Linked DNA regions of Neurospora crassa OR74A. The protein of the gene in region 1 purifies or fractionates together with the protein of each later gene. This does not show direct contact. Links are inferred from orthologs where the notes say so. Each region holds a gene or a part of one and is shown in the gene's direction. Other genes may lie near its edges.

Region 1 (4,317 bases):
AAAAAGGGCCAAAACTCAACTTCTTCTACTCTTAATTTCTCAACGTGGTTTATTGCAAAACTCACTCCACGTTCTAAATAGAGATAACTTTAAGAGGAGATACTAATGCAAGTTGTCCGAAAAGATACACTCGAACGGGGGGCAAAAGCGTAAGTACTAAAGTCACTTTCCGAAAAGTATCTCAGATTCTATCCACTATAATGCACTCTAAATGCACTATAACCAAAAATCCTTTTCAAACTCTCATTTGAACAATTGTGATTACACTACTAAACCAATGAAGTCAATTTCATTTATATATCTGGGGAGTATAACTATTTAACTCTGTCCTCCTTTAGTGCATCTGCTTTTGAAAGGTAGTTGGCATGAAAACTAGGGAGTGATAGAGTTGAGTTTTGGCCCTTTTTGCGGGTAAAAAAGAAACGTGTTTTATTTTTGGTCCGGGACTGTACCCTTAAGGGGGGGCTAGCCTTTTTACAGTAAAGCTGGCGCCCAACTGCAAGCCATCTGCAAGCCCACTGTAGCCTCTGGGCGCTCAGAGTGGGTATGTGAACGTGGCTACACCTGGCACAAGGTGTGTGCAGGAGGCTGTCAGCTGTAGGGCGCTCGCTTACAAACCTAGATCGGGTAAGGTGGCCCGCCGAGCCCGCTAAAGGGGGAGCTAAGGGGTATCCAAATCGAATTGAAAAAAGCGGTACTACTAGACTTAGTCGAATGTACCTCTCTGTAGGTACCTATGTACATACTTGACACTGGGCACGCAAGACGGCAGTGAAGAGACGGGCATGATGTACACATTCATGGATCTGACCGTGCTGGAAAATATCGAACTGTTTTCCAATTGTCAAACTTTTTGTCAACTTTGATCATTACTTTGTCCAATTTCGGCTACCTACGTAACAAAGCCCAGAAGGACGTCCATGGACGGGATGTCGCCCGCGATATCCCACCAGTGCGCCGGATGACGTCGATATATACAATGTAGAGGTACGCTAGGTACACTGGGCCACCACCAGAACTACTATGCAGTGTACACTACCCAGGCCAACAGAGAGGAGGCACAGGCAGCGGTCATAGTGTAGGTACACTAGTAGAGGTATAAACCGAATTGCCCCTGAAGTGGGACTGGAAGGCGATGCCGCGGCCGACTTGTGGCCTATGAGTGGCGCCCCCCGCCGCCTTCCATTATGAGACGAGATACACTACACTACGCAGGTATGGAAATGGAGGTCCCGTTCGGTCCCGTCGTGGTGGACACGCTGCTGATTGTGCGATACACAACTGGACTGGAAGGCGCAGGCAGGGTTCGGCAGGGAACATCAAGGGAACACGTGATCCGAGACCCTTTCGGCAGTGGAGTGAACAGTTTTGACGAGGAGAGGAGACTGGACCTGGGACCTGGACGCTCCGGCTCCTTCGTCCACTCACTCGCCCAGTCCTAAACAGCACTGAATCATTCACGACTTCCGCACCGCCTCGCCTCGTCCAAGCTTCGGAAGTTTCCCTCAAACTCTCTGCCTTTCTGCCCCGCTTTCAGACGACGACCACCACCACCACCACAACAACGACAACACTTCAATCACAACAGAACAGAAACACTTTGAGCTCGCTGCAAAGCACCATCTCGTCCCACTCTCCCAACGGCATCGCACACGTCGCTTTGATTCGCCCTTCAGTTTTCACAGGCCAATCAAGTCCCAGCCGTCGACCCCGAATCGGATTCCTCGCAGCCTCTCCCACAAAAGACGTCGCTTGACTTCGAGGCATACAGGCAAAATCAAACGACTGAGAACGTCCTTGGTGCTCCCACACGCAACGAGCCTCCTCGCGACCCCATCCCCATCCACCGCCGTCTCATCTTTGCCCCACGACCGCTCGCGACAGGCCTCCGCCTCCGCCTACAAAGCTACATCTGTCTGGCTCTGCTCACCGTCAACAGACCGAAAAACAAAAGAGAAAGAGGGGATTCCCACCCACAACTAGTGCTCCTCTCCCCTTGTCAACCACTTGTCCATTTCGCTACACACACCCGGAGACGAAGCCATCGCGCTCTACGCTCTCCTTTCTGCAACATCTGAGCCTCGACCACGGGTTCCACAACCGAACAACGACCATCCGGCAAAATGTCCGACCAACTAGCGGATCAGTTGAAAGCTACTAGTCTGAGGTAGGTTGACCGCCTTCCCTTCTGTCCCAAACCCAGCTGACATGTTTTTGATAGCTCAGGCCCGGAAGACTGGAAAAAGGGACTTAACCTACCTGCCAGGGACACAAGACAACAGACCGAGGATGTTACAAACACGAGGGGTCTGGATTGGGAAGACTTCATACACGACAGGGATCTCTTGATGGGCATTTTCGAGGCTGGCTTCGAGAAACCGTCCCCGATTCAGGAAGAAGCGATCCCCGTTGCCCTCACCGGCCGAGACATCCTCGCACGCGCAAAGAACGGCACCGGCAAGACCGCCGCTTTCGTCATTCCCGCCCTCAACAAGATCAACCCTAAGGTCTCCAAGATCCAATGCCTTATTCTCGTTCCCACCCGTGAGCTTGCCATGCAGACATCCCAAGTCTGCAAGACGCTCGGCAAGCATCTCGGCATCAACGTCATGGTGACAACCGGCGGAACTGGCCTGCGGGACGACATTGTGCGTCTGCAGGACCCCGTACACATCGTCGTCGGAACACCAGGTCGTATCCTCGATCTAGCTGGCAAGCAGGTGGCCGATCTCAGCGAGTGCCCAATGTTCATTATGGACGAGGCTGATAAGCTCCTGTCGCAAGAGTTTACCCCCGTCATTGAGCAGCTCCTGCAGTTCCACCCCAAGGATCGTCAGGTCATGCTGTTCTCCGCCACTTTCCCTCTTTCGGTCAAGGATTTCTCGGACAAGAACATGACTAGCCCGTACGAGATCAACCTCATGGACGAGCTTACGCTCCGCGGTATCACTCAATACTATGCCTTTGTTGAGGAGAAGCAAAAGGTTCACTGCCTCAACACTCTGTTTTCCAAGCTGCAGATCAACCAGTCCATCATTTTCTGCAACTCTACCAACCGCGTCGAACTGCTTGCCAAAAAGATCACTGAGCTTGGATACTCGTGCTTCTACAGTCATGCCAAAATGGCTCAGCAGGCGAGAAACCGTGTCTTCCACGACTTCCGCAACGGTGTTTGCCGCAACCTGGTCTGCTCGGATCTCCTCACCCGCGGTATTGACATTCAGGCAGTGAACGTTGTCATCAACTTCGATTTCCCCAAGAACGCCGAGACGTACCTCCACCGTATTGGTCGTTCTGGTCGTTATGGTCACCTTGGTCTTGCTATTAACTTGATCAATTGGGATGACAGATTCAACCTTTACAACATTGAGCGCGATCTTGGTACAGAGATCCAGCCCATTCCTCAGACCATTGACAAGAGCCTCTACGTGTACGAGAACCCTGAATCGATTCCCCGGCCCATCTCGACCTTCAAGCCTATTGCCCAGCAGCCGCAACAGCAATTGCAGCAATCGCAAAGGCCTCAACAGTCTCAACAGCAACAGCATTTCTCAACACAGACACAGCCGTCAAACCAGCTCCCGCCTCAACAGGGCAACCAACAACTTGGCTTCAATCCTCAAGCTCAACAGCCTCACAGACCCATCCCCCAGGCCCAGGGTGATTGGCAAGGGCAAAACGGTCGCCAAAATGGCACAGGTGCTTCCAACAACCAACCCAGACCCACCAACTACCAGAACAATCGCGGGCAGCCCGGTAGCAGCCGCGGAGGTCGTGGACGTGGTTTCCAGGGCCAGGGAGGCCGTCAGAACCAGAACTACGGTGGTCAGCGCGGTCCTCGTACCCAAGGTCAGGGCCAGCCTCAGGGTCCACTGTCTGCCCAGTAGGGTAAACTCTCCCAACAAGTTTTGGAAGGAGGGGGATATGTGGTAATGTGAGGAGGTGTGCGACCATGCATCGCTTCCACGTTGTTTTGTCTTTGAATTGTACATATTAGTCGTCCTTTTTTTTCGGCCATCTCTTTCTGTTCCTCCCGAACTGTGAATGGGCTACCATGACGGCAAGTGTTGTCCCTCGGCCTGTCAGGTTTGCGTTTACGCTACGGCAGACTCGTCTATCACACTCTTTCTGCCGACCCTGCAAACAGTTCAACGACATGCACGGAACTGTACTACGACACATTCTCTTTTGGAGTTTGCCCCATTTCAAGGATTTTTCGATACGGTCCAGCTTCATCCTGTTCGCATTCACGGCTTACAACGCTTCGGCATGGGCGCGGAGTCTTGGGTGGTGTGGGGTTTATACGTCTTTGTTGGC
Region 2 (3,502 bases), on another chromosome or scaffold:
AGCTGGGCTCGGCATACCGTCTGAGAGCGGAGGCAGAAAAGGCGCGAGTCGAGTTGAGGTTGTGAGCGATGGTGGTGCTCTGGCGCATACAATGGCGCTTGGCATTGCGCCCAGCGAGTCGGAACAACGTCGTCGCCATTGTTGTTTGTGGGACTGCCGCTTGCTTTGGGTCGCTCAGAAGGTCAGGGAACGGAGATGGATAGATTCGCAGGATTGACAGCGACGGAGGACAAAGGGGAGGAGGTTCGCCGCTGGATGTGGCCTCTTCTCCGGCGGTTCAATGGCTCGCAGTGAGCTTGCGATTTCTAGTGATAGCAGTAATAAGGTGGTGGTGGAGATGCTTCAGTTGACGTCCAGTCGACTTTCCCTGACCACGGCCGCAGCAACGCCCCAGCTTCGAACTCCTCAAATCGTTGCCGTCAGTTGGTCAGTGAATTTCAACCCAATCAAAGGCCATCAGTTGAGCAGTCAGAGACCAAGCTTCTTCTGGTACAACGTTCCCCCCACGGCGGGCAAGCTCCCGTCTCGACTGTTGCCGGCCAAGGCGTTTATCCGGCAGCCGTGCCGCCAAGCGGTCCCATGGAGGGCAGCCGCGCTATATGCCATCTGATTGGCTGGTTGTAGAAGCCTCGGTCCTTCGCCAGGCAGTCTCGAGGCAGTGTAAGTCGGAATTTGGGCATTTTAGGGAGAGGTTTTCGCAGAAAGGAAGAGGAGGATGGAAGAGCATGTCCACACTTATAACAATGACCACAGAGATTCCAAGATGTGCTGGAGTTAAGAGTGGAGTTAGTCAACATGTCACTTACTCGCGACAAACCTCGATGTGGACATGGAATATGAAGCCCCGATGTCTTTCCCTCGCCGAAGCTACAAAATTGTGGATTTGGAATTGATACTCCCGACATGCAAGTATATCTAGGTAGTTGAAGTATCTCCCATCATACCTGCGCAGCCCTTTGCAAGTGAAGATCTAGCGTTCTCTCTTCGCCTCAGGTTTCGTCGATGGTCGAAGTCGACGGTAACCTGACAGAGGTTATGGCCCGCCATGTACCCTGTTGGCCTTGTCCCAGTCATTGCGGTCCTGTCCACAATTGTCTCCGCCGAGGCCCATGAGCATCAAGTTGAGCCAGGCAGTCCCTGAACCTCTCCGCCACTGCCTGCAGCACGATAAGATCTCAGCCAACCAATCAACCGCATTCCCGCGAAGGCGGTCAAAAAGTTCCCGTTCGTGGGAAAAATTCTGCCGCTCCATCGCCCGTCGCACAGCGCAGAGCTCTCTTTCCCAAGATTTTGCCCGGCGTGCCGACCTGCGTGTGAAAGCGAGAGGGTAACCCCGCCAACCTAGAGCATTATTTACACATATCGTCGCAATGGGATCCTCAAAGAAGCAGACCGCCGTGCCCGTCAGGACAAAGGTCCCGAGCCCAGAAGAGGTTGAGAAGCGTAACGTACGTCAATCACTGGCTTGCCGCCCATCATCATCAGTCGAGGCTGCGCAGCGCATGCAACGCGGAAACTGATGGCATTTTTCTTCTGCAGACTGTCCATATCAACGCCGAAACTGTCACCAATGTCACATCCACCGACTTTCCCGGCTTCTACCCCGGCGAGGATCATTCCTGGGATATCGAAAAGTTCCGCGAAAGTGTCCGCGTAGTGTTCCACCAGAACGACCCTTATGAGGCTCAATTCTCGCTCATTGGCGTCGACGCCTCTATCGCCAATGCCTTCCGCCGTATCATGATTGCCGACATCCCCACGCTGGCCATTGAGGACATTTTCATGTGGAACAACACCTCCGTGATCCAGGACGAAGTTCTTGGCCACCGCCTGGGCCTGATCCCGTTCACCGGCGGCAAGGAAGGCCTCCATAACTTCCTCAAGTGGTACAAGAAGGGCGAGACCCCGTGCGACTACAACACGGTCGAGCTCGAGCTCAAGGTCAAGTGCGAGAACAACGAGAGCGCGCCGGCAGACAGCAAGGACCCCAAGGAGCTCTACCACAACGCCCATGTTTACGCTAAGGACATCAAGTTCGTGCCCAAGGGCCGGCAAGCCAAGTACTTCTCGGGCGAGAACGCCATCCGGCCCACGAACCCTGACATCCTCGTCGCCAAGATGCGGCCGGGACAGGAGATCGATCTGACGATGCACATGCACAAGGGCGTCGGGTCCGATCACGCCAAGTTCTCCCCCGTCGCCACGGCCTCGTACCGCCTCATGCCGACCATCACCATTCTCGAGCCGATCCTAGGCCGCGACGCCGAGAAATTCCAGAAGTGCTTCCCCGAGGGCGTCATCGGGCTGGAAAAGGTCACCAAGGAGGAGGCGAAGAAGAAGGGCAGCGGATACGAGGGCCATGAGGGCGAGCTCAAGGCCGTGGTCCTGGACGCCATGCGTGACACCGTCAGCAGAGAGTGCTTGCGCCATGACGAGTTCAAGGACAAGGTCAAGCTGGGCCGAAGGAGGGATCACTTCATTTACCTGGTGGAGAGCACGGGGCAGTGGGAAAGCGACGCCATCTTCCTCGAATCGATTGCCCACCTCAAGGAGAAGGCGAAGAGGTTCGAGAAGCAGGTGGTGAACATGGTACAGTAAACATTGTACCAGGGGTAGGAGGATTCAAAATAGCACGAAGAAGAGGTGAGGTTATTTCTATGTACGGTGGTTGAGACAGAATTTGAGCGATCATGATGTGGAATCACACAGGGAAAGAGGAAAAATCACACGGATTAGGTCGTGAGGATACCCATCTCTCTTGTAACCATATAAAAGAACATTGGAACGGCGTCATGGAGGCTAGGGATTGGTGGCCAGCTTTAGTTTAATGGTTTCTGCTTGTTAATTATCATAGACATGTCGGTGCACATGAGTCATGAACCACACTGTCTTGCATAAACACAGTACCCCTCATTTGACATGATGTCTTTTGGTTACGTACTGCGTAGCATATTGTTGAAGCACATTGTTAATCATATCTTGTATTCACATCTAATTAATTGCAAAGGAAGTTAACTCATCGCTATAGCCATCTTGCGGGTCATTCCCCGCTGCTTGTTGTGCAACGCTCCCGCTCGTAGGTAATTTACAAATCTAGTCCCTAAATAGCATGAACAAAGTCCAGGCAAACCAGGCCAGGCCATCATGACACGTTCATGTCTGGGGACCATCATGCAAACTTGAGGCTGAAGTTGAACACCACGCCTACAAACGCTGGATCAGTAACGGCGAGCTCAGTACCTTCCGTCAGCCCAAGCTGCTCAAGTGTCTTCTCCAAGTTTGGCCGCGTCTGCTCCTCCAAGTTCGGGGGCAACTGCATGTACAGCGTCTTGCCCTCAGCCCGCACCGACGGCTTCTTCAGTTGCGCCTCAGGAAGGGTAGCAAACGACTCTATGAGCTCTTCGAGTGTCCACTTGGGGTTGACCTTGAGCACCCTTGCCGTCATGCCGCACACGGGGCAGTCCTCCTTTTGCTCGTGCTTAAACGTATACGTGTAAATGCT
Region 3 (3,429 bases), on another chromosome or scaffold:
GGTTGGGGTGTAAGAGGAGTGCGGACGCATCGGCAATCTCGAGGGCCTCCTTCTCCTTGTTGAGCCGGTATTTTTTCGAAGTGATGATGTTGATCAGTCGGTCGCGGAGGGTCGAGGCAAGCGCCTTGTGTTCTCTGTTCGCAAGCTCCGTCTTATAGGCATGCGTATTGAGGTATTCGGCGATCTTCTTCTCGTAGTCAAACTGCGGAACCAAGAGTCAGCATTGGCACTTTGACTGGCGGAGCGTTGAACGGTTATGATCGGGAGACGTACTTTAAATTTGGTGAGAGCATAATCGCGTTGCTCTGCAAGATCCTGTACGTTCTCCATCCACTTGGCAAATTTGGGGCCAGCCATGTCAAGGAGGGATCGTGGACCACCGTCGGAGTCGGCGCCATTGAGCTGGTTGAGTCGTCTCTGATCCTCTTCGAAGCTGTCCAAAGGTCGATCGACATAGGGGTCGACTCGCATGACCAGACTGGTGTCAATCTGAATCTTTTGTAGTTGTTCGCGAAAGGCCTGGTCTCTGTCCTTGCTCCATTTGTCGGAAAGGGTTGCAATGCGTTCGGCAAGCATTTGGCGTCGCTTGTCTCTCTTAGACTGTGACTGTGACTGACCGGGAGGAGGAGAAGCGTTGGAGCGGCGATCAGGCCGCCCGGAAGGTGCGTCGGCCATGGTAACGTCGGTAGAAGCCATGGCGAAAGGGGGGTCCTCGTAAATATGTTTCTTGGTTGCCTGCTTTTTTATTGTATCCGGACCAGGTAAGACCAGGCGAGGCAAACCTCAAGGCGAGGCTGGTGGGCGGAAAAAAGAGAGCCCCAGTGCAGAGATTTGAGGCTAGAGGACGAGTAAGTCAAAGTCGACTGGACGACGGGAAGAGAGCTGCCCTCGTCCGCCGATGGACGGGCGCGCAGAATGGTTACAGCGCAAGGGCGAGAGAAAAGGAACGGCTTCTGGTGGTCGAAGCGGGTTTGGACATAGTCCTCATGGGATCTTTTGTGTATAATTGTCGACAGCGAGGGTACGTATGGTGCAGATGGAGAAATATGGAGTGGCAGAATGAAATGGGGTTGACAGCAGGTTGAGCCGAAGCAGAAGGACCGGAGAATGCAGTGCGGCACTACCTAGGTAGGTACAGGCAAACCAGCACAGGGAGGTCAGTGCAGGTCCCGTCGGCTCATTGTCCGGCCACCGGGTTGAATAATACTGTAGGTTGCTGCACAGCGCTTGGTTTCACCTTGCCCTGGCAGTGTTTACTGACTAGACATACAGTCCGGTGATCATGGAAGCTCCACCGCACAGGCGCTGTACCTAAGCGAGAGCAGTCTGCCGCAGGAAGCAGCGATAGGTTTGTATGAGCCGAGCTGATTGCTGAAGTGGATAAAGCTGAGATTCGCTCCGTCTTGTGGCTCAACCTGCGATGTGGCTGACTTGTATCATGTACATATACGCAAATTGCCTGCCGGAAGGAAGCTGGAATCATCCACTAAAAGCTTATGGCAGGAGCCGTGTAAGTAGAGTGGTAAAAAGATCTGTGCGACTCGGGCTGTCCTTCAAGGAACACACTTCTCGTCGCTGCCTCTCACCGTGAAAGTGGGGTGAACTGCACAAACAGCGGAGCAAGCCCAGGGCAGCCCAGGGCAGCAGCTATGTACTAAGGTAGGTATGTACGCAGTAGGTAGGTAGTAGTATGTGCGGGCAGGCAACGTCAGGGCGGGCAGCTGTCCCATCGCATCATTGCATCCCGCTTCCCATTCAACAACCTTGAAGACACCCCCCGAAACTTTACAGATGGACTAGAAGACATAGGCCATCTTCAGCACACAACCATGGAACACCTCTCGATAAACGATCAACCCCCACCGCCGCCCTTCCCTCAGGGCCCCGGCCAGCCTGGACCCGGCATGCCCCCGCCGGGACTCCTAGGAGGCGGCCGTCCTCCCCAGCCCCAGCAGTTGCCCGCGCAAATGTTCACCACAGCTGCCCAACTCCTCGACCTGACCGATAGTAAGAAGCAATATTGTGGACATATCTTTTGGACGGGAGGAACTAGGCTGACACGAGCGGCGGGGTACCAACAGAGAAGCTAATGGTAGCATTGCGCGACGGACGAAAGCTCACGGGCATCCTCCGCAGTTGGGATCAGTTTGGTATGCCTCCATGAACCTACCTCTCTCTTACAACACATGACCACCTATACACGCACGCACGAACGAGCACGAGTATGAAGAGGTAGCTGTGTTAACGCGAATCCACTTTTTTCCCACCATACTAGCCAACCTAGTACTACAACAGACAAAGGAGAGGATATTCGTGCCTCCAGGCACGCAGTCACCCACCCAGACCAGGGGGCTCTACGCCGACGTCGACCGGGGCCTCTTCGTTGTTCGCGGCGAGAACGTTCTCCTCATGGGCGAGATCGACCTTGACCGCGACGACGACCCGCCCCCGGGCTACGACCCTGCCGACCTCGAACTGGTGCAGACACTAGCCAAGCAGAAAAAGGCCGAGGAGAAGGCCAAGGAGAAGCGCAAGATCAAGAAGCTTTCCACCATTGGCTTCGAAGGGGAGAACGTAGGCGAGGCGCTTCTGTGAATGATATATGAATCACCCTCAAATTTTACAAATGGGACGGAAAGAAAGAGACGGGAGGAGAGACGACCAAAACTTTAACTTGTTATGATTTATACCTACATACCCCTGAAGTGGAAAGGGAGTGTCGAAGGAGGGAATGGCATGAGCGATTGGAAGCAGAATATTGTGAAATGCTATCCACTCAGCTGCGACTTCATACGAATGGAAGACCGCATGAAGCCTTACACCAAGGTCGGCCCAAGAAGACACCAAGTGTATTTTACCGTTAGAAAATTAGCAATTCGATGGATTGCCTCGAATCGAACCTGGCCACTACTGACTATGATCATGTTGGGAAAGGATAGCCCAGAGAGATATCCACGACTAACATTCTTTCCTAGGACTAGTCACATAGCCGGCACAAACCCATCGACTTCAACATCCTCCCACCCACCCGCCATCATCGATAACTACGCCGAGCTCGGGAAATGAGGCGTTGGCACTCATGACCAACCAACCGATTACCCAGCATCATCAAACTGAAAGATGATATGCAGCAAGTACTCAACCACCTGCTGCGGGGGTTGCGTTCCACATGCCAACAAAGGGGGGGTTGAACTTGTTTCGGTCGGAATAGGGAAATCCAATGTACCTCACGTTGATCCACTGAGGGTTCTGTATAAGCCGCTGGGAGATGTCGTTGTGGGCTGGGTTGGGCTGGCTGTAGGCCATCACTAGGTCTTTCGTAAGTCCACCACTATAAATCTGTGAAGTCGTCCATGAATGTATGGTTGGGCGTGGTGGGTAAACTGAAGTTGTACCAGCCCCATGTCGAGGGCGTGGCGTAGGGCTTGA

The links.
Region 2: the proteins of NCU06149 (region 1) and NCU02533 purify together in Saccharomyces cerevisiae (affinity purification with mass spectrometry; 3 studies listed by BioGRID). This does not show direct contact. The link is inferred for Neurospora crassa OR74A from reciprocal best matches to the Saccharomyces cerevisiae genes DHH1 and RPC40.
Region 3: the proteins of NCU06149 (region 1) and NCU01601 purify together in Saccharomyces cerevisiae (affinity purification with mass spectrometry; 6 studies listed by BioGRID, with this or other methods). This does not show direct contact. The link is inferred for Neurospora crassa OR74A from reciprocal best matches to the Saccharomyces cerevisiae genes DHH1 and LSM1.

What each region holds. Positions count from the first base shown.
Region 1 is NC_026507.1:1,629,001-1,633,317, forward strand, and holds the start of NCU06149 (ATP-dependent RNA helicase dhh-1), read left to right. Parts: upstream 1-1,414; 5' UTR 1,415-2,123; coding exon 2,124-2,167; intron 2,168-2,221; coding exon 2,222-3,887; 3' UTR 3,888-4,317. UniProt on the Saccharomyces cerevisiae protein: ATP-dependent RNA helicase involved in mRNA turnover, and more specifically in mRNA decapping by activating the decapping enzyme DCP1.
Region 2 is NC_026501.1:2,645,796-2,649,297, reverse strand, and holds NCU02533 (DNA-directed RNA polymerase I and III polypeptide), read left to right. Parts: upstream 1-1,261; 5' UTR 1,262-1,370; coding exon 1,371-1,448; intron 1,449-1,539; coding exon 1,540-2,598; 3' UTR 2,599-2,958; downstream 2,959-3,502. Other genes in the region: nuo49 (NADH:ubiquinone oxidoreductase 49kD subunit), read right to left, coding at 1-139; NCU02532 (NEDD8-activating enzyme E1 catalytic subunit), read right to left, coding at 3,170-3,502. UniProt on the Saccharomyces cerevisiae protein: DNA-dependent RNA polymerases catalyze the transcription of DNA into RNA using the four ribonucleoside triphosphates as substrates.
Region 3 is NC_026502.1:2,980,954-2,984,382, reverse strand, and holds NCU01601 (hypothetical protein), read left to right. Parts: upstream 1-1,565; 5' UTR 1,566-1,829; coding exon 1,830-2,007; intron 2,008-2,081; coding exon 2,082-2,150; intron 2,151-2,275; coding exon 2,276-2,595; 3' UTR 2,596-2,899; downstream 2,900-3,429. Other genes in the region: NCU01599 (hypothetical protein), read right to left, coding at 1-202, 274-696. UniProt on the Saccharomyces cerevisiae protein: Component of the cytoplasmic LSM1-LSM7 complex which is involved in mRNA degradation by activating the decapping step.